Tamandua tetradactyla: one gene and its partner. The protein of the gene in region 1 purifies or fractionates together with the protein of each later gene. This does not show direct contact. Links are inferred from orthologs where the notes say so. Each region holds a gene or a part of one and is shown in the gene's direction. Other genes may lie near its edges.

Region 1 (10,405 bases):
GGCGTCTAAGGCCATGTGTGTACATCCTTTCTTGGGGGGTGCACCCCTCTTCCAACTCTGGAGCTCTTAGTGTAGGTTGTTTTCCTTTCTTTACTATGCTTGTATGAAACAGCCGTGCTCTCAATATTTGTCTTTGTCCCTCCTCATAGTTCCTATTGGCAGTCAAGGAAGATGTGACGACGAGGGGTAGCGGGTTTGGTGGAAGCCCAGCCCGGACCCCTTTACCGAGCCGGACCCTGCACCCCCCGGATGCTGTGCGTGTTGGCACCTCAAAGCCCTTTCTCCAGAGAATCGCCCCAGTGGAGGGGGGCAGCGACCTTGCCCAGATGTTACTTCTCCACCATTCCATGCCCAATAACTGATTGACTGGGATGGGGAAAGAGGCAGGCCCTTTGTCTCAAGGTGAGGCCAAACTTTCGGTGCAGTTTCTGCTCCAGAGCGCCCCGAGGGTCAGGCTGAAGCCAGACTTCAGCTGGGACTGCATCCTTGCGTAGCTCCTACCCCTGCCTTGTCCTGTTCCCTCTTGCATTGCTCCTGAGAGCACTCCCTCCCTCAGCACATCCCTGCACCCACATCCCATCTTAGGCTTTGCTTCTAGGGGACATGCCCTAATCCCAAGACACCACATTTGGTAGCTTGGATCAAGGTGAGGCTTCGGCTGGGGAATGCTTGTCAGACTTAATGCTCCTTCTCAAGTGAACGGTAGCCCTGGTCCAGCAGGCTCTTGCCGCTGTCAGTCTTGTAACAGGCATGTTGGACTTTAAGGCAAAGCGTGAAGACGCTGGTGCTTGGTAGGACAACTGGGCAGAAGGGAGCGTTTTAAGAGGATCCAAAACAGCTTATCTAGAAAGAGTTGTTTAGGTCCCTTTCTTTCCTGTATCATCTCTTACCTGTTGACCTCCTTACTGTTCTCAGTTCATTTCTCAGTTACAGAGAAGATGAAGGAAAGGAAGCACACGCACATTGTTTCTTTTTTTTTTAAATTAACAGCAAACAAACAAAAACATTAACATATCATTCCATTCTACATATATAATCAGTAATTCTTAATATCGTCACATAGTTGCATATTCATCATCTCAGAATATTTGCATCAATTTAGGAAAAGAAAAAGACAACAGAAAAAAATAAAACGATAACAGAAAAAAAAAGATTAAACATACCACACCCCTTACCACACTGTTTCTTAAGCTTACTGTATTGAAAGCTCAGCGTTGTCTAAGTGCCTGCTGCATTAAATTTACTGAAGACACTTGACATTATGTTCACAATGTAGAGAAGCTCGGATTTATAGACCTAAAATAGGGAACAATATAAAATAAGATCTAGTATCTTCAAACAGTTCTGTGCACTATAAAAAGTTAGAAATCACATGAATATGTTGTGATTATTAAAATAAATTTGAGAACCATTTAAGAATAGCTCTTTTATGCAATCATGTCCAATATATTATTTCAAATCCCTAAGCCAAGTGAAAGCAGTTTTTGTAAATGAGAAGGGAAATTGTCTTACTGAGCAGGAGAACTGAAGCTACGTTGATTAATTGTGTGGCTGGATCTTAGTGACTTGTTCTTCCAAAACCGGTTTACGCCATCAGGGCTCCGGATGTCGGGGGTAGAAGCGTTTCAGGGTGTGATGCCCAAGGAGCAACCATGATCATGCTTTCCATTTCTCCCCTTAGTTTTTTAAAAAATAAATCTAAAATGGCTGTTTTTCTGCTTTTAAAAAAAGTAAGTTTCCACATTTTTACCAAGGGAGCACACTAGTGAAGGGCAATTTGTCTTCAGGACTCAGTCGCTCGGGAAACCACCGCTAGACGTATTTACGGTTTAACTTGAAGGCAATTTAAATGGCTTTGGTTCTTCATCATCAGTTGCTTAGTGGTTGCCCATAATGGCTGCTTGACCACCACAAGGTAAAAGGACGAGTTACCGAGGAGCATGATACTCCTGCAAACCGATCTGAAGGCCTGTGCTCTTCACCACATCTGAGATACAATCAATCATCTGCTGGTTTTTAGTACCTCAAAACATGTTTACAAAGGGAAAATATGGTGGCAATTTATTTATTTATTTAGAATAAAAACTCTTCATATCTGCTAGCGACTTAGTTGAGAAGTGTTTAAAAAATAATAGTTCGAACTTTTGTTAATCATTCAGAGACAAAACACAGCTTTTAAAATAATAAGTTACCTTTTTTTTGGATGCAGAATGAAAGAACTCTGAATATTTTATTTTGCAAGCTCTTTTTCTGTCAATTTTCAATGCCATGACATTTTTTCATTTCAATGCTTTAAAATAAATTTGATCTTCAAAATAAACTTTTTCTACATGATTAAAGTGAAATAAAGAGTGAGCTTTACTTGTTAAATGGAAACTATTCTTTACCAATTTGTTTTTATTGTAAATATTGTAGAGATTGTATAAAGTTGAATTTTATAATGCTACCTTAATTAGATAGCAATTTATTGTGAATTTTTTTCTTTAAAATTACCTTTCTATCATGTACAATGAAAAAACGACACACATTTTAAATCCCTAAGGGCTTTGTGCAATTATAGCACTGGATTAGAAAGCTTCTAAAGTCTTATCCATCCCTGGACTATGCATCATACTCCCCAAAGGTCATTAAAAAAAAAGAATTTCTGCCCACTTATCAGGTTTTCAACATTCTGATGGTTGGCTTGTTATTGCACATAAACAGCAATAATGATATCTGTACCATTTCCCTCAAATTGTTAACATAGTGCCAGGGAGGAGGGAAACAAGAAATACACAGTGGGAGGATTTAGTATCCACGGTTGTGACATAACCCTTTTTTGCAATCTTTGGGACAGTAGAATGCCTACTATGTTTAGTTTCTTACTCACTTGTTTATTGTAGTCACAGTGTTTTTTTACTAATGGGTATGAATTAGTAAAAAATTGTATAGAATTGTATAATTCTATACAATTATATTTTATCCTATCTCCTCTGTGGTTTCATGTTGCAATTTACTTCTAAAATTTATCACTAAAGTAATTTCTGTGGCATTTAAAATTGATATATATTGTTCCCAACTTGCTAAACAGCTATACTATCTTCATATATTGTTGCCTTCCTTAATATGGAGTTATTTTAGCCTCAAAAAAGAATTGTCTGGGATATACTAGAACTTAGGCAAAACTTTTTCAGATTATTCTTCTGCAAGAAATAATTTATCTTCCAAAAAGCACTCTTCTCAGGGTTTTAACTCTTCTTGTTTCACAATCATTTGTGAACTGAGCTCTCCCCTAATAGCCCACACGAGACAGAAAAGGAAGTGTACTTATCTACGTCCAAGGCAGAACGCTGTGAGCACTAAAGAAGGACCTACAGAAGTGAGCGAAGGGAATATCAGCTCTTAGGTCACGAAAGCCAGAGGTTCCCAAAGAGCCGTGTGCTGACCCCAGGGCGGGAGTGGGGAAGGCTGAGGCCAAGGGAGTTTGATATTTTGAAACTAAATAATACTAAGACTAACTTTATGTTTTCACTGGGCTTGCATTTGCACTGTGCAGGCATTGCAGGCAATAGTGCTGGTGCCTGAATGGGAGCAGGGACTCTAAGCTATACAGTACTAACAGCCATTAGAGTCATCATGCCACACACTGGTAGGAAACAAAAAAAAAAGGCTCATATAAAAATGTCCTTTGTGGAAAAAAGATTTATTTTGCCTGGAAACTAAATTTTCTGTAGCACATAATCTAACACTACTTGTCTGGATAGCTCATTTAAACAATCAAAACACAGGGAGACCAGATAGCTTAATGTAATGCCTGGATACATCCTAGAGTATATTAAACAGATAATCAAAAAATATTGACAAAATACCTTGAGGGCTGGGATAAAAAATATGGAACTATTAAACTTTATCACTGGAGAAACCCCTGATACTGTGTTAGATTGTAGGGATACCCCAATCAATAGACCAAACCCTTGATCCTGAGGCTTCCTCTTGTGAAGCTTATGTAGGTAGCGGAAAAGCTTAACCTACCTATAAGTGTGTCTAAGAGTTACCTCCAGAGGACCTCTTGTTGCTCAGATGTGACCCCTCTCTTTCTAAGCCGAACTCTGTAAGTGAAATCATTGCCCTCCCTCCTACATGGACCTGACATCCAAGGGTGAAAGTCTCCCTGGCGGCATGGGAGAGGACTCCCAGGGATGGCCCTGGCGCCATCAGATATATAATGCCATCCTGACCAACAGGGGAAAAGAAGTGTAACAAATGAGGTATCAGTAGCTGAGAGAGTTCAAATAGAGTCGAGAGGCTACTCTGGAGGTCACTCTTATGCAAACTTCAATGAGACATTACTACCTATCATAACTTGCCAACCCCAACCAAAACCATTCCAGCCAAGCCTAAAGAACACCTAGAGCATTATATAAGATTCTACAAAGGTTCCATGCACTAGGGTAACTTTCCAGAAACTTACAACCTCCAGATGGGTCCCTAGACAAGATAAGTCTTGAAACCTAGAGGGCCCAGCGTCTCCAGAACATCAGCTAGTTCCATCTCACTACCCCATATTACTGATAGCCCCTTCCAACATGAAAAAGTTAGAATAGGCATAATCCAAATACCCCTAAAGAATGAGAGAAAGATCAAAGGTGATGGTAGAGTTATACAGAGAAGGTTGTGTTTAACAAATGAGGATGATCACTGAATCCTTATATTGATATTTCTTTTAGTCTTAGTACCTTAGAGCAGCTGGAAGTAAACGCCAAAAATTGTGGAATTGTAACCCACACCAGATTGTGAAATCTGTTCTACAACTAATCGTTGCAATGTGCTTTGAAATTTATTGCTTTTTTGTATATTGATTATATTTCACAAAAAAGAAAAAAAGTCGATTGTGATGGTAAAAATATTTGTCCCTCCAGTGTTCTGGAGCAGCTAGAAGGAAAAATCTGAGATGATGATATGGTAGCCCATGACAGACTCTGGGATCTGTCTACTTGTTGAACAGTGCTTTGAAAACTACTGCTTTTTCTTTCTTTGCTTTGTATATATGTTATATTATACAATAAAAAAGTAAACAAAAAAGTCCTTTGTGAAGGAATAATTGTTTATTGTAAATATCAACTCGAGTATATATTTTTAAATTGTGATGATATGGAAGGTATGCATAAAGGACTTCTGCTGAATACCAAAGTACATTGACATTATTTGATTTGCTACCTGAGCTTGCTCCTCTTTCACTGAATACTATGTGAAACGACATCTGCCAGACAAATTGTGATTCTTCAGACTTGGGTATTTGGCATACATCTCATGAATTCAAGAAGGGAGCCTATCAGTTCAAGGAAAACAAACATGTTGGCTATGCTTAAAATTCAGATTTTCAAGTACTAATTGGAAATTTGGAAAATCTGTATCCATCATTTGATTTTGACAGCTTTCTAATACTGCAAGACTTTCTGATGAGACCTGCGGTGATATTAACAAATTGGATTTTTGATATTGAATAAAGAAGCCACATTCTACACTGCAACTGACACTTTAAAAAACCTACTACTTGTTGGATTTGGGTAAAATTTTCTTCGTATACTTCAACAAAAACAATTTCTAGCAATAGATTGAGTGCAGAAGCAGAATTGGGATTCCGACTGTCTTCTGTTAAGGCAGATAGTAAAATAGATTTGCAAACAGTAGCACTTTTTAAAACTTCTTAATTTTAGAAAATATCTTTTTAATTCAACTACGTTATTTGTGTAATGGGATTTTATTGTGTTTTTAGTAAATTTAGTTTTTGAAATTTTAGTTCTAATTTCTAAAATGGCAAATATCAGAAACTCACATAACCAAAGCTCTCCGTGGTCCTCAACTCAAGAGTTTTCTAAAGGGGTTAAGGCTAAGAGCTGGGGCACGGCTGGAAATTAACGGCTGTGCAGGTGGAGCCTGACTCTCGCGGGGATCCGTTCCCGTGTCAGATGCAACGGGTCGGAATCCATGCTGGCCTCGCCCCAGGAGCGGTCCCACTCCGACAGCCGGGACTGCGCAGCTAGGAGGCGTTCCCTGTCTCCATGGAAACCGCCCTCGCGGTCTCCAGGACCCGCCTCACGTTCCTCTCCGCCTCTGATTGGAGCAGGCTAAGCCGTGGGCGGGCCGTTGGGAGGGCGGAGGGCGGGCTGTACATGCGCCCAGGGCCCCGCGGGTGAGCGTGCTGACGTCACGCCGCCGCTGCGCTGACGCCACCCCAGCGCTCCCGTCGCCGCCTCTGGGGTTGCGGGTCGAGGGCCGCGGGGGCGTCTGCGCGGGGCTGAGGCGCGGTCCAGGGCGGTCCTGGGCTGCGACCCCGCGCCATGGATCTCAGCCTGAACCGGACTGACTATTTGCAGGTATGTCCGCGGGGCGGGCGGGCGCCGCGCTGGGTGGGCCTCTCCCCGAGCGGCCCTTCCTTCACGGGAGTGGTCGGGGGCCAGGTGGGCGCCGCCCTCCTGGACGCCCGGTGAGGACGTGAGGGACGCGGCGGGCTCCGGCGGGGCGGGCAGGCGCCTGTCCAGGGCCGGGGACGTGTGTCGGGCCCCGAACCGGACTGCACCTGCCCGGAGCCGGGGGTGCTCCTGGACGTGTGACGGGCCCCCACCGGACTGCACCTGCCCACACGTGCCCTGGACGTGTGACGGGCCCCGACCCGGACTGCACCTGCCCACACGTGCCCTGGACGTGTGACGGGCCCCGACCCGGACTGCACCTGCCCACACGTGCCCTGGACGTGTGACGGGCCCCGACCCGGACTGCACCTGCCCGGACGTGCCCTGGACGTGTGACGGGCCCCGACCCGGACTGCACCTGCTCGGACGTGCCCTGGACGTGTGACGGGCCCCGACCCGGACTGCACCTGCCCAGACGTGCCCTGGACGTGTGACGGGCCCCGACCCGGACTGCACCTGCCCACACGTGCCCTGGACCTGTGACGGGCCCCGACCCGGACTGCACCTGCCCACACATGCCCTGGACGTGTGACAAGCCCTGACCCAGACTGCACCTGCCCAGACGTGCCCTGGACGTGTGACGGGCCCCGACCCGGACTGCACCTGCCCACACGTGCCCTGGACGTGTGACGGGCCCCGACCCGGACTGCACCTGCCCACACATGCCCTGGACGTGTGACAAGCCCTGACCCGGACTGCACCTGCCCAGACGTGCCCTGGACGTCTGACGGACCCCGACCCGGACTGCACCTGCCCAGACGTGCCCTGGACGTCTGATGGGCCCCCACCCGGACTGCACCTGCCCACACGTGCCCTGGACGTGTGACGGGCCCCCACCTGGACTGCACCTGCCTGGAGCCGGGGGTGCTCCTGGACGTGTGACAGGCCCCGACCCGGACTGCACCTGCCCACACGTGCCCTGGACCTGTGACGGGCCCCCACCCGGACTGCACCTGCCCAGACGTGCCCTGGACGTGTGACGGGCCCCCACCTGGACTGCACCTGCCCAGACGTGCCCTGGACGTGTGACGGGCCCCCACCCGGACTGCACCTGCCCAGACGTGCCCTGGACGTGTGACGGGCCCCGACCCGGACTGCACCTGGGCCCTGTCCCCCCCTTTCCCTGGTGCAGCCACCTTGCACCGCAAACGCCCAAATCTCCATTTATATCCGTCCCTTCTCCCAGAAACTATTACTTTAGACTGAGCTTGACTGCACCAGCCAGACCATGATAAAAGCAATGGCAGCCCTTTATTGAGCATCTAATTCAGTCTAAGAATTTAATATACGTTTAATCCTAATAAAAAGCCTTCGAAGTAGAACGTATATGACAATCCAGGGACTCAGAGAAAGGAAGTAACTTGCTTAATAGCTAAAAATAATGGCATTTTTTTGTTTTTATTAATTAGAGAAGTTGTAGGTTTCCAGGAAAACCATGAAGAAAGTGGAGTTCTCATGTATCCAGTCCTCACACTCAGTTTTCCCTGTTTACATTTCGTGTTAGTATTACCGTTATTACAATTGGTGAAGCACATTGTATTCTAGTTTCTGATTATGCATTTGCATATTCTAATTATCTTGTATAAGTGAGGTCAAACAATATTTGTCCTTTTTGTGCTGACTTATTTTACCTGCTGTCTTCAGGGTTCATCCATGTTGTTAGCATATGTCACAATTTTGTTCCTTTTTAGGATTGAATAATACTCCGTTGTATGTATGCACCCCATTTTGATTATCTGTTTATCTGTTGAAGGACACTTGGTTTGTGTCTACCTTTTGGCAGTTGTGGATAATGTCCCTATGAATGCTGATGTGAAACATTATTTGAATCCCTGCTTTCATTTCCTTTGGGTGTATGCCTAAAGTGGGATTGCCAGGTTAGATGGTAATTCTGTGCTTAACTTTCTGAGGAGCCACCACACTGTGTTCCATGGGAGGTACTTCATTTTACGTTCCCACCAGCAGTGTTCCTGTTTCTCCACGTTTTCTCCTACAAACTTGCTATTTTCTGGTTTTCAGTAGTAACCATTTTAGTGGGTGTGAAATGGTATCTGTGGTTTTGATTTACTTTTCCCAAATGGCTAATGATGTCTAGCATCTTTTCATGTGTTTTTTTTTGTGTGTGTATTGTTGGAGAAATTTGAGTCTTTGACCCTGTGCCGTTTTGAAAGGTTGTGTGTACCCTAGAAAAGCCATGCTTTAATTCTAATCTCATTTTGTAAAGGCAGCCATTTCTTCTAATCCCTATTCAATACTGTATGCTTGAAACTGTAATTAGATCATCTCCGTGGAGATGTGACTCAATCAAGAGTGGTTGTTAAACTGGATTAGGTGGAGACATGTCTCCACCCATTTGAGTGGGTCTTGATTAGTTTAATGGAGTCCTGCAAAAGAGGAAACATTGTGGAGAATGAGAGATTCAGAGGGAACAGAGAATTCTGCAGCACCATGAAGCAGAGTCCACCAGCCAGGAACCTTTGGAAATGAAGAAGGAAAACGCCTCCTGGGGAGCTTCATGAAACCAGAAGCCAGGAGAGAAAGCTAGCAGATGACACTGTGTTCATGTGCCTTTCCAGATGAGAGAGAAACCCTGACTGTGTTCACCATGTGCCTTCTCACTTGAGAGAGAGACCCTGAGCTTCATTGACCTTCTTGAACCAAGGTATCTTTCCCTGGATGCCTTAGATTGGACATTTCTATAGACTTGTTTTAATTGGGACATTTTTTCGGCCTTAGAACTGTAAACTAGCAACTTATTAAATTCCCCTTTTGAAAGCCATTCCATTTCTGGTTTATTGCATTCTGGCAGCTAGCAAACTAGAACAGACCTATTTTTAAAATTGGGTTGTTTGTCTTTTGGCTGTTGAGTTGTAAGAGTTTATATATTCTGGATATTAACCCCTTATGGAATATGCTGGTTCCAAATGCTTTCTCCCGTTCTGTAGGTTGTCCTTTTACTTTCATAGTGAAGTCCTCTGATGCTTAAAAGTTTTTAATTTTGATATGTCCATTTATCCTTTTTTTTTTTAGCTTGTGCTTTTGGGGTAAAATCTAAGAAACCGTTGCCTAACACAAGGTCCTGAAGATACTGCCCTGTTTTCTTTTTGGAGTTTTATAGTTTTGATTCTTCTATTTAGCTCTTTAATCCATTTTGAGTTAATTTTTGGATATGGTGTGAAGTAGAGTCCACTTTCATTCCTTGGATATGGCATTCCGGTTTCCTTAACACCATTTGTGGAAGAGACTATTCTTTTCCCTGTTGAGTGGACTTGGCACTCTTGTCAAAAATCAATTGACCCTAGCTTTAAAGGTTTTACTTCTGAACTTTCAGTCTGATTCCATTGGTCTATATGTCTGTCCTTGTGCCAATACCACACTGTTTTGACCACTGTAGCTTTATAATAAGCTTTTAAAATAGGTGCATATGAGTCCTCCCGCTTTCTTTTTCAAGATGGTTTTGGCTATTGAGATCTCTGATTTGAGATCTCCCTTGGTTTTTACTGTAAGCATTTAGAGTTGTAACTTTCTCCCTCAGCACTGCCTTTGCTGTATCCCCTAAGTTTTGGTATGTTGTGTTTTTGCTTTCATTCACTCAAGGTATTTCCTAATTTTTCTTGTGATTTCTTCTTTGACCTATTGGTTGTTTAAGAGTATGTTTTTAAATTTCTACATATTGTGAATTTCCCAGTTTTCTTTGTGTAACTGATTTCTAGCTTCATTCCATTGTTGTCTGAGAAGATACATTGTATGATTTCAGTATTTTTAAATTTATCGACACCTGGCTTGAGATCTAATCTATGGTCTATCCTAAAGAATGACTCATGTACACTAGAGAAGAATGTGTCTTCTTCTGTTGTTGGTTAAATTGTTCTATGTATATCTGGTAGGGCTAGTTAATTTAGAGTATCATTCATGTGTTCTATTTCCTTAATGACTTTCTATTTAGATTTTTA
Region 2 (10,062 bases), on another chromosome or scaffold:
AGTTAATTTAGAAACCCTAGGACATCAGATTTCTTTTTCTTATAACATAACAGTAGAAGGGGCTATTCAACATGCAAAATGTTTAGATGATAAGGCTGAACATTTAACTATTAGAGAAAAAGAGGGGTATTTTTAAAAAACAAATTTTTTGAGAAATCTTCACACACATACTTTCTATGCATAGTGCAACAATCAATGGCTTACAATATCATCACATAGTTATGTATTCATCACCATGGTCATTTTTTAGAACATTTGCATTACTCCAGACAAAAAAGTAAAAAGAAAAAAGAAAAAACTCATATATCCCATACACCTTACCTCTCACTCTCATCGATCACTAGTGTTTCCATCTACCCAATTTATTTTACCCTTTGTCCCCCAATTATTTATTTATTCATTTAATCCACATTTTTTACTCATTGGTCCATACCCTTGATATAAGGAGCATCAGACACAAGGTTCTCACAATCATACAGTCACATTGTAAACATTGTGTCTTAATACAACCATCTTCAAGAATTTAGGTTACTGGAATACAGCTCAATACTTACAGGTCCCTCCCTCTAGCCACTCCAATACACCATAAACTTAAAAGGGATATCTATATAATGCATAAGAATAACCTCCAGGGTAACCTCTCAACTCTGTTTGAAATCTCTCAGCCACTTACACTTTATTTCATCTCATTTCTCTCTTCCCCCTTTTGGTCACGTAGACTTTCTCAATCTCTTGATGCTGGGTCCTGGCTTATACCAGGATTTCTGTCCCATGTTTCCAGGGAGATTTATACCCCTGGGAGTCTTGTCTCACATAGGAGGGAAGGCAGTGAGTCTACATGCTGAGTTGACTTAGAGAGAGAGGCCACATCTGAGCAACAAAGGAGGTTCTCTGGGGGTGACTCTTAGGCCTAATTTTAAGTAGGCTTAGTTTGTCCTTTGCAGGAATAAGTTTCATAGGGACAAATACCAGGATCGAGGGCTAGACCTATTGATTTGGTTTTCCCCACTGTTTGCTAGAGTATTAGAAATTCTCAAAATGGGGAAGTTAAATATATCCTCCAAAAGAGGGGCATTTGCAACTTTGGGATGGCATAGTATGGCTAACACCTGGGTATGGTAGATTAAGCCAGACAGCCTCTCTCTGTTGGGAACAACAGAATCATTTACAATGGTATAACATTTCCAATACAAAGAGAATGGTGTGGCTGCCTCCAGAGCAATGTCTCCAAATTATAATATTACAGGAGAGTGACTGGTTTGGGACAGACTGGACTAATAGACCTAATGTTTTCTGTTTAGCTCTGAACAGAACTCATGGTTATATGGTACCAACCTATGGCCCTGGTTATCTCCAGGTTGAATAGGCAGATGCACTCTAGGATTACCCTGGGCTCAAGGAAGTATTCATAAAACTCTGTCTTCAGGAGCTAGGTAAAAGTTTTAAAAGTTTGATGGGCCCAGTCAGTATTTCATTGGTGTGACCATCTAGCTGCTATATTTCTGCCATCATTAGGTATTGAAGATGTTATACTTAGGATAGAGGCACCAAACAATTTTATACAGCAAGCCTTAAATGATAGCCTCAAAAGTTTATCCCTTAAGCACTGAAGTGACCCTAATGTGTAAAGCAGTACTACAAAACTGAATGGTCTTAGATCTTAACAGCTTCACAAGGAAGGACATGTGCTATAATAAAAACTGAATGTTGTACCTATATACCTGATGAATCTGAAAATGTAACTAAAGTCAATAGAACATATGAAAAATCAAATTAATGCCATAGACATTAGCTCCACATCCTTCAGCATATTTGATTTATTTTGTTGGCTTCCTACAGGAATAGGATCCTGGTTTCATTCAGTATTTCAAGCAGGGCTAATGATACTACTAATAATAATTATGAGCATAAACTCATCTTTAAAACATGTCTCTATCTCTTATCCCAGCCCTGCCATAATTGAAATATAGGAGAAGACTTAATACTATGGAAAAAACCTGAAGTTAAAGAATATATCCAACTATAATAAGAAGTTCCACTCCTTAAACCCTTAGGGAGATGCCCCTTTATTAGCAGGAAGTAGCCAGAGTGGTTGTCATCCAGATATCCCTCAAGATTGGGGAATTGTCAAATGACAGGGAGGAATTGTTACCAAGAAATCAGGATTTAAGGGATGATTTTAATTGCTGACTCATTACATAGATATTCCTTTTTGCTTTCTGGTATGTTGGAGTAGACAGGGGGAAATTCCTGAAATCTCTAAATTGTAATCTGGTTGCCTTGATCTCTGATAATGATTGTATAACCTTTATCTTTTGCCCTTGTGATTGTAAGCCTTGTGACTAATCTTCATCTGTACCCACTGATCCAGTTTTATAACTTTAGAGTCTCGTAATCACTAAGAACAGACCCTAATATTTGTTAATGATGGGTCTTGAGTCTGCCCAGAACTAATCCACCCCAAGTCCAAAATTATGTTGATGACTGAAACTGGATCTAATCAAAGTGGGCCCACCTGAAATGCACAGTAGTTTAGACTTTATCCTACAAGTCACCTATACCTCATTCCGCTATTTTCTTTCATACATTTTGTGACTAAGCATGTAAACAATCTATGCACGCTCAATAATCAGATCACCCCTAATTACATTATCTGGAACCACTGTGCTCATTATCCTAAACCTTGCCCATCCTTCCTCTAATAAAAAACTATATAAATTACTGGAGTTTGGGGAGACAAATTTTGGGCCACTAGGCCATCTGCTCTCCCACTATGCCCCTAGTAATAAACTCTTTCTCTCTTTGAAACTCCAGGGTCTCAGGAATCAGTTATTGAGCACGTTGGGCAAAAGAACCCATGACCTTTGTCTGGTAACATCTCCAAGGAAACAACCTAATGAAAAGATCCCATTCACAATAAGTTTATCCCACAAGATTGGATTAAAAGTGTATGGCTTTTCTAGGGTACCTAACAGTTTCAAGTCAGCACAGTACTGATTAGCTTATTTGAAGCCCTCAGATGAGTCCTTGGACTTTTCAATTACTTGCATTCATTAATTCCACTTTTATGCATATGCCAGTTTGAGTTGGGGTTCTGTTGCTTATAATCCAAATAATACTTAAACAGCCAATTTGAAATGTTTATTTTTAAAACAAATTTTTAATTTTTTTTTAAAATAAGAAACACAAACATTCTTAATATATGATCATTCCGTTCTACATATATAATCAGTAATTCACAATATCATCACATAGTTGCATATTCATTATCATGATCATTTCTTGGAACATTCGCATCACTTCAGAAAAAGAAATAAAAAGACAACAGAAAAATAAAACAAAAACAGAAAAAAAATTATATATACCATACCCCTTACCCCTCCCTTTCATTGTTCACTAGCGTGAAATGTTTATGTTGATGGTAAGACTGGAAAGTTAAGTTTTCTTTTCAACACAAATATTTATATGGAGACTAAGAATCATGTAAAATCTTGATGATAGGATTCAATGTGATATATTGGAAAGAATATCAGCCCAGAAGTCAGAAAATTTGGGTTCTAATCCTGGAAGTTCATTCAGCTGTATGACTTTGCAAAATTAAGCCGATTATCAAAATAATTAAGCGTTCATATTTGCTTTGAATGTTGCAATATGTGAGGTCAAAGTACTACTAGCATTCCTTCCAGAGCTTCTTATGTATATATAATGGTAAGTTTTGATTTGGGGGGTGTTTTAAATTTATCAGCTGCTTAAGAAAATACCATGAAATAGGTTGGATTAAACAATGAGAATTTATTTGCTCAAAGTTTGAGGCTGGGAAAAATTTCACATGTAGGCATCACCAAGGCGGTGCTTTCTTCCTTAACACTGGCATTCTGAGTGGACTGCTGGTGACCCTTGGTCTCTAGCTTGTCATGACAGAGTTTTCCTGTGTCTCCCTTCTCTTTCATTGTTGTTCAGTTTCTTGCTTACTGTGGCTTTCTCTTGCTTTTCAAATACTGGGGTGAGGGTTTTAACATATCCAAACATTGGGGAGACCACCTTGTTCTTGAACCCACCCCTGGAAGCATCTGGATGGCACCGGGACTCTCTGCCATCTCCAGGCACATGCTCAACTCCTCCAGAAAAGTAGGGTGTTGGCCGGGCTCTCCCCAACCCCAGTGAAATGTGCTCCACCTTCCTTGCCTCATGGGCAAACTCACCTTTCCATGTGCATTGCTGGAGAGTGCCTCTGCAGAGACAAACATTACCAGTTTCTTGTGATTTCTTCTAAAAATTGTACTTAATATGTGTATAAATATTTCCCTTTCTAATTCATCACAAATGGAAGCATACTATAAAAATTTTTGACGGTTTTTTTTTCACAAAATTATTTAACACTCTCAAAGTCTTTTAGAGGCTGCATAATTTGCCTTAGTATGGATTATTGGTTTATTTAAATAGTTCCCAGTGATGGACATTTAAATTGTTTCCAGTATTTTTTTGTATCAGGAACAATGAGGTATATATATTTTTCTCAACATTCTCTGTTGAGTATATTTGAAGTATCAGGAATACGTACATTTAAAATCTTCATGAAGGGTCTTGGGGCTTCATGTTATTTTAGAGTGTTGTTTTTCCCAAGTGTTGGCTGGGCTGTTCAGGGTTTGATGGTATGAATTTTGGGAGGACTGGCCATTTCAAAAGAGGCAGAAAGAGATAGAGAGTTACCCTGCAGGTGACATCAAAACAAAGCTAGAGGTAGACCCTAGCAAAGTGTGAAATTAAAATGTTTACAATTCCTTTGTTATACATGTGTTGGTGAAGTTTAAAAGTTTCTAATGTTTGATCCTTTCCCTACCTCCTCAGCCCCTACCATGGAGAAGAAACAATAAATGTCATTTTGCTTGGAACACATTGCCCAGCTATATGACTTGAGTGATCCTGATAAGTAGGAGCACATGGCCACTTTCAAGGTTTTCTAAGGAAGATTAAGACTCATGTGTTACATTAGAACCGTTCTTTATGTGATTTCTGGGATTTTCCTATGAAGAGATTATGTTGCATGACATTTTTCTTATTAGTTATCTAAAGTATCTTAAATTGGCGACTGAAATTTGAGAAATCAATGTGCAACCTTATTGTAATCCTTTGCACAAGAAATGCCCTCTCTTCTTCCTATGATCTGGATTCAAAGGAGAGATATTAAGACATATAGTAATAATGATTTCTATTTATTGAATAACATGAACAAAAAGAATGTCTGACTTTTCACAGGACCCCTTTCAGGGAGATTTTCTTTATTGGGAACAAGGCTCATGAGCTTCCTGAACCAACAACTGCTCCTTTCCTAAGGCCCCTCTTCTGAGTACTTGGTTGTACCATTCACCCAGTTGCTTAAATTAGGGACCTGGCAATTTTCCTTTGGGATTTCCCTTTTCCTCATTCTCCCACATTCAATTCTGTACCATCTACTTTATGTTCTACCTCTTAAATTTCTTAAGAATCCATTTTTTCTTGATTTTGCCATTACTCTAGTCCATGTGAACTGTTTCATTGTATCTTTTCTTGCTGTATTCTTTTAATCTACTTAGATTATCAATTCTTATTTCCCTCCCAATTAATTCTCCACTCATTAGCTGGATATTAACAGTCAAGAAACAGGGTTGTAACGTAAGGCGTGAAAATGAGATTCTGCCCTAAGGTTTTGGACCTGGGGAGGGGCGGGGTGTGTGTGGTGGAACTCCCAGGAAGACTGAAATAAACGCAGACTGGAGCCAGGGCAAGAAAGAGATTTGAAGACTGCGCAGCATCTCTAGGTTAAGTTGGCCACGCTCAGCTGGAGGCCTGGTATTTCTCCAGCAGAGTCTTCGGGTGGGGGTTTAGAGACTACACATTTCCTCACCGGCATGGTCAGAGGGAAGCCGGCTACGAAGCGGACTCTGACCCTACAGCTCCATTCCCTGAGGACCCTGAATCTCCCACTCAGAGCCTCAGCCCAAGCCCCAGCAATCCTCCTACTTCCCTTCTCAGGCCCCGCCCTCCTGTTTACAGTCCAACCAACTTCCGTTTGCCTGGTAGTCTGGGAATCCACCGACTTCCGGCCTCCGTGAGGCTGGCTGAACCAAAATGGCTGAGGACGGACTCACGGTGGTGAGCGCCAAGATTCTCCGTAGCGTCTGGGCGGCCAGGGAGGGCCGGGTTGGGAGGGTGGCGAGGTAAATTGGTGGGCACTGGGTCTTGGCTCTTGGCCCCAGTTCCACACAGCCGCCCTTGGGGAGATGCGGAGCCAGGTCCAGAGCAGTTTGGGATGGGCGGGCGTGATACAGTCGGTCTTCTGCTTCCCCGGAAACAGGTCGGCGTAGGGCGGGTGTGAATTCTTTGCAGTGGGGGTCTGTTCTAGGGCTGTGGTACCCCGTGAGCTGCGTTTAGCGGAAAAGGGAGACATCCACCAGATACAGCTGTTTTCTTTGCTTCGTCTTTTTAGCATCACGGGATTTGGAAAGGAAGCATTATCACATGTGTAGAGACAGTTTTTGCTAATCCCGTGGATTAGGAATTTAGTTTGATGAAGCTTGAAAGTCTTCAGTGTCACTGCTGTAATTAGCGTTTAGGAAATTACTGTTACGAGATTCAGTTGGAGATTGAGTTAGGATTTGATTAAACTCCCTGGAATTGTTGTTACAGAGTAACCCAGATAAATACAGCATGAGCCAACAGTAGTTGGTTTTGAGGTATATAATCATAATTTGTGAAAGCACCAAGTGTCAAACTTGTATTCTTGCCTTAGGGTTTCAAAACAATTCCGCCGATTTGTTAGACTGATTTTAGTTCAGAATTTATTGCTCTCTGAAAAACCCTGGAAAACATAGAAGACAAAAAATAGCAGCGTTTGGCTGACCATTTGATCATGTAGTTTTAGGTGTTTAGGAGCTAGGTCAAATTTATCTTCTGAGGCGGGGCTTTTCTATTCTATACCTTCTCATCTGCAGAGTTATCAAATTATTTCAGTTTTAATCAGAAGAAAGGAAAACAGGGAAGGAGGCTCAAAGCAGAGATTTTAAGTGTGAGATGTAATTGTTCACTACAGGTATAGAGAGGTGTTCGTGTGACAGAATATGAACTTGATTTCTGTGATGGTAGAATGGTTCTGTACTCTCAAAGCTCTCAGAATTATCCTGTACTTTTAAGGAGAACTACGTTTCTGGGTTCAGTGGGACTTTAGCACTTAAGCCTGAAGTTAATTTATTATTTTCGGTGTTGTTAGATTTGTTGCTAACAATCTAGTATTGATAGTAATTTTATTTTTTCAAGTTAACACCACATTGAAATTTGATTTCTGTCCTTTTTGGAAAGTGATAATTATAAATTATCTAATAAAATTAAAAGGACCTGTTACTCTTTGACCCAGAAATTCCACTTGTACATCTGTGTAGGGTAGACATAAAAGTGAAACAAGCGTATAGTACAAGGGCATTCATTGCAGTACTATTTGTGGTGACAGAAAGCTGGAAACAAAGTGAATACCTATTAGGAAAGTAATGGATTAATAACTTGTGGTATTAACATACTGTGGAATATTATGCAACCATTACAAAGAATGTTAGAAGTATGCGTGTTGATAGGGGAAGATTTTCATGGTATACATTTGTTAATACAGGATTTGGAGGAATACTGTGCAATCTAAATTTTGTGACTTAAAGGAAAAAACACATAGATCTATAAATATGGACATACACACAGAGGAGAAAAGGTTAAAAGACTTAAAACTCTAGATGAAACTGTGAACACATGATAAAAGTAAAAATGCTGCAGTAAATGCCTTGAAGCTGTGAAATATCCCAGCATAACTGAGTGAAAGTGGCCCAGTGTGGAACACACAAATTCTAATACACCACTAGAACTATTATGGATTATTACCAGTTCCTTAGGAAGAAAACTGGAAACTGATATACACATCTATATAGTGTAAATATGTATGATAAATGGTTTAGAGTTCTTATAATGAAAAAAGGAAAGAAAGCTAGCAAATAGCTTGGGTTTAAGTTGAAGAAAGATCTTGGAAAACCATGATTTGTACTTACAAAATTTTTATAACTCCCTAATTCTCATTATGTGATATACTTGTATAAATATCCATCTGTTCTCCTATGAATGAAAGGAGGAAAACTTTACAGAACTGAGAGAAATATCCTCTCTGCACTTGTTGATCTGTGTCAGGTAGTGCTTAGTACATATCAGGTGCTCCCTGAATATTTGTGAGATAAGTAAATAACAATTACATAAAAATGAAGAAAGAGCCGAAAAACATGATGGATTTACTCATACATACATTACACCTATGAATGAGAATAAGTGGGCTTTTAGAATCCTTTCCATTTCTCAGAATGTTCTGGAAAAAATCTTTTGGAAAGAAGACTCAATTATGATTTATTTTAATTCCACTTTGTGCAGAAGAAGTAGGGTTGTTGACTCATAAAGGTAGAGAAGATGCCTTTTGATCCTCTAAGAATCTCCTTCCCCCTTCCCCCAAATTTCCAATTAGATTTTAAGAAAAGTTAAATCCTTTAGCATTTTTAAAACAGCCTTATTGAGGGACAATTTATATATCATAAAATTCTTCCATTTTAAGTGTATACTGTGTGTAGTTTTAGTAAATTTGTATATTTCCACAATCCATGTGCAATTAGAACATGTCCATTACTATAAAAAATTCCCTTATACAACGTTTGCAGCCAGTTGCTACTTCTGAATTCAGGCCACCACTGATCTACTTTCTGTCTTTATAGTTTTGCCTTTCTGAGAAATTTGGTGTACAAACATACCTTAGAGATATTGTGGGTTCGGTTCCAGAGCACTGCAATAAAGTAAATATCACACTAGTTACAAATTTTTTGGTTTTGTAGTGCATATTAAAGTTATGGTTACACTATCCTGTAGTCTATTAAGTGTGCAATAGCATTATGTCTGAAAAACAATTGTACATATCTTAATTTAAAATATTTATGAAAAAATGCCAACCATCATCTGATCCTTCAGCAAGTTGTCATCTGTTGGCTGATGGAGGGTCTTGCCTAGAAGTTGTTGGCCGCTAACTGATTAGGGTGTTAGTTACTGAAGGTTAAGACAACAATGAAGTTTACCACATTGATTGACTCCTCCTTTTATGAAAGACTTCTCTGTAGTATGTTATGTTTTATAGCACAGTAGAATTTCTTTCAAAATTGGGAGTCAATCCTTTCAGATCCTACCACTCTTTATCAACTAAGTTTTTGTAATATTTAAAAATCTTTGTTGTCATTTGAACAGTATTCACAGCCTCTTCACCACGGGTAGATTCCATCTCGAGAAACCACTTTCTTTGCTTATCCATCAGAAGCAACTCTTCATCCATTCAAATGTTGTCATGAGATTGCAGCAATTCAGTCACATCTTTGGACTCCACTTCTAATTTCAGTTCTCTTGCTATTTCAGCCACATCTGCAGTTACTTCCTCCACTGAAATCTTGAACCCCTCAAAGTGGTCTCTGAGAGTTGGAATCAACTTCTCCCAAACATTGGTTAATGTTGATATTTTGCCCTCCTCCCATAAATCCCAAATGTTCTTTTTTTTTTTTTTTAATATTTTTGTTGAGATATCTTCACACACATACAGTCCATCCAAAGTATACAGGCAGTGGCTCACAATATCATCACCTAGTTGCTAACTGTTCTTAATGGCATCTAGAATGGTGAATCCTTTCCAAGAAGGTTTTCAGAGCCACCAGAGGAGTCATTCTGTATGGCAACTATAGCCTTATGAAATGTATTTCTTATGTAATAAGACCTGAAAGTCCAAAAGACTCCTTGATCCATTGATTGCAGAATGGATGTTGTGTTAGGAGGCAGGAAAATTACATTCATCATGTACATCTCCATAAGAGCTCTGAGGTGCATTGTCAATGATTGGTAATATTTTGAGAGGAATCTCTCTTTTTTTGAGCATTAGGTCTCGACAGTGTGTTTATAATATTCGGCAAACTGTATTGTAAACAGATGTGCTGTCATCCAAGCTTAGTTATTCTGTTTTTAGAGCACAGACAG

The links.
Region 2: the proteins of BBS7 (region 1) and BBS4 purify together in Homo sapiens (co-immunoprecipitation; 7 studies listed by BioGRID and IntAct, counting the BioPlex papers as one, with this or other methods). This does not show direct contact. The link is inferred for Tamandua tetradactyla from reciprocal best matches to the Homo sapiens genes BBS7 and BBS4.

What each region holds. Positions count from the first base shown.
Region 1 is NC_135348.1:46,865,767-46,876,171, forward strand, and holds the start of BBS7 (BBSome complex member BBS7), read left to right. Parts: upstream 1-6,221; 5' UTR 6,222-6,320; coding exon 6,321-6,356; intron 6,357-7,672; exon of another isoform or gene 7,673-9,114; intron 9,115-10,405.
Region 2 is NC_135338.1:69,647,342-69,657,403, reverse strand, and holds the start of BBS4 (BBSome complex member BBS4), read left to right. Parts: upstream 1-6,053; 5' UTR 6,054-6,108; coding exon 6,109-6,132; intron 6,133-10,062.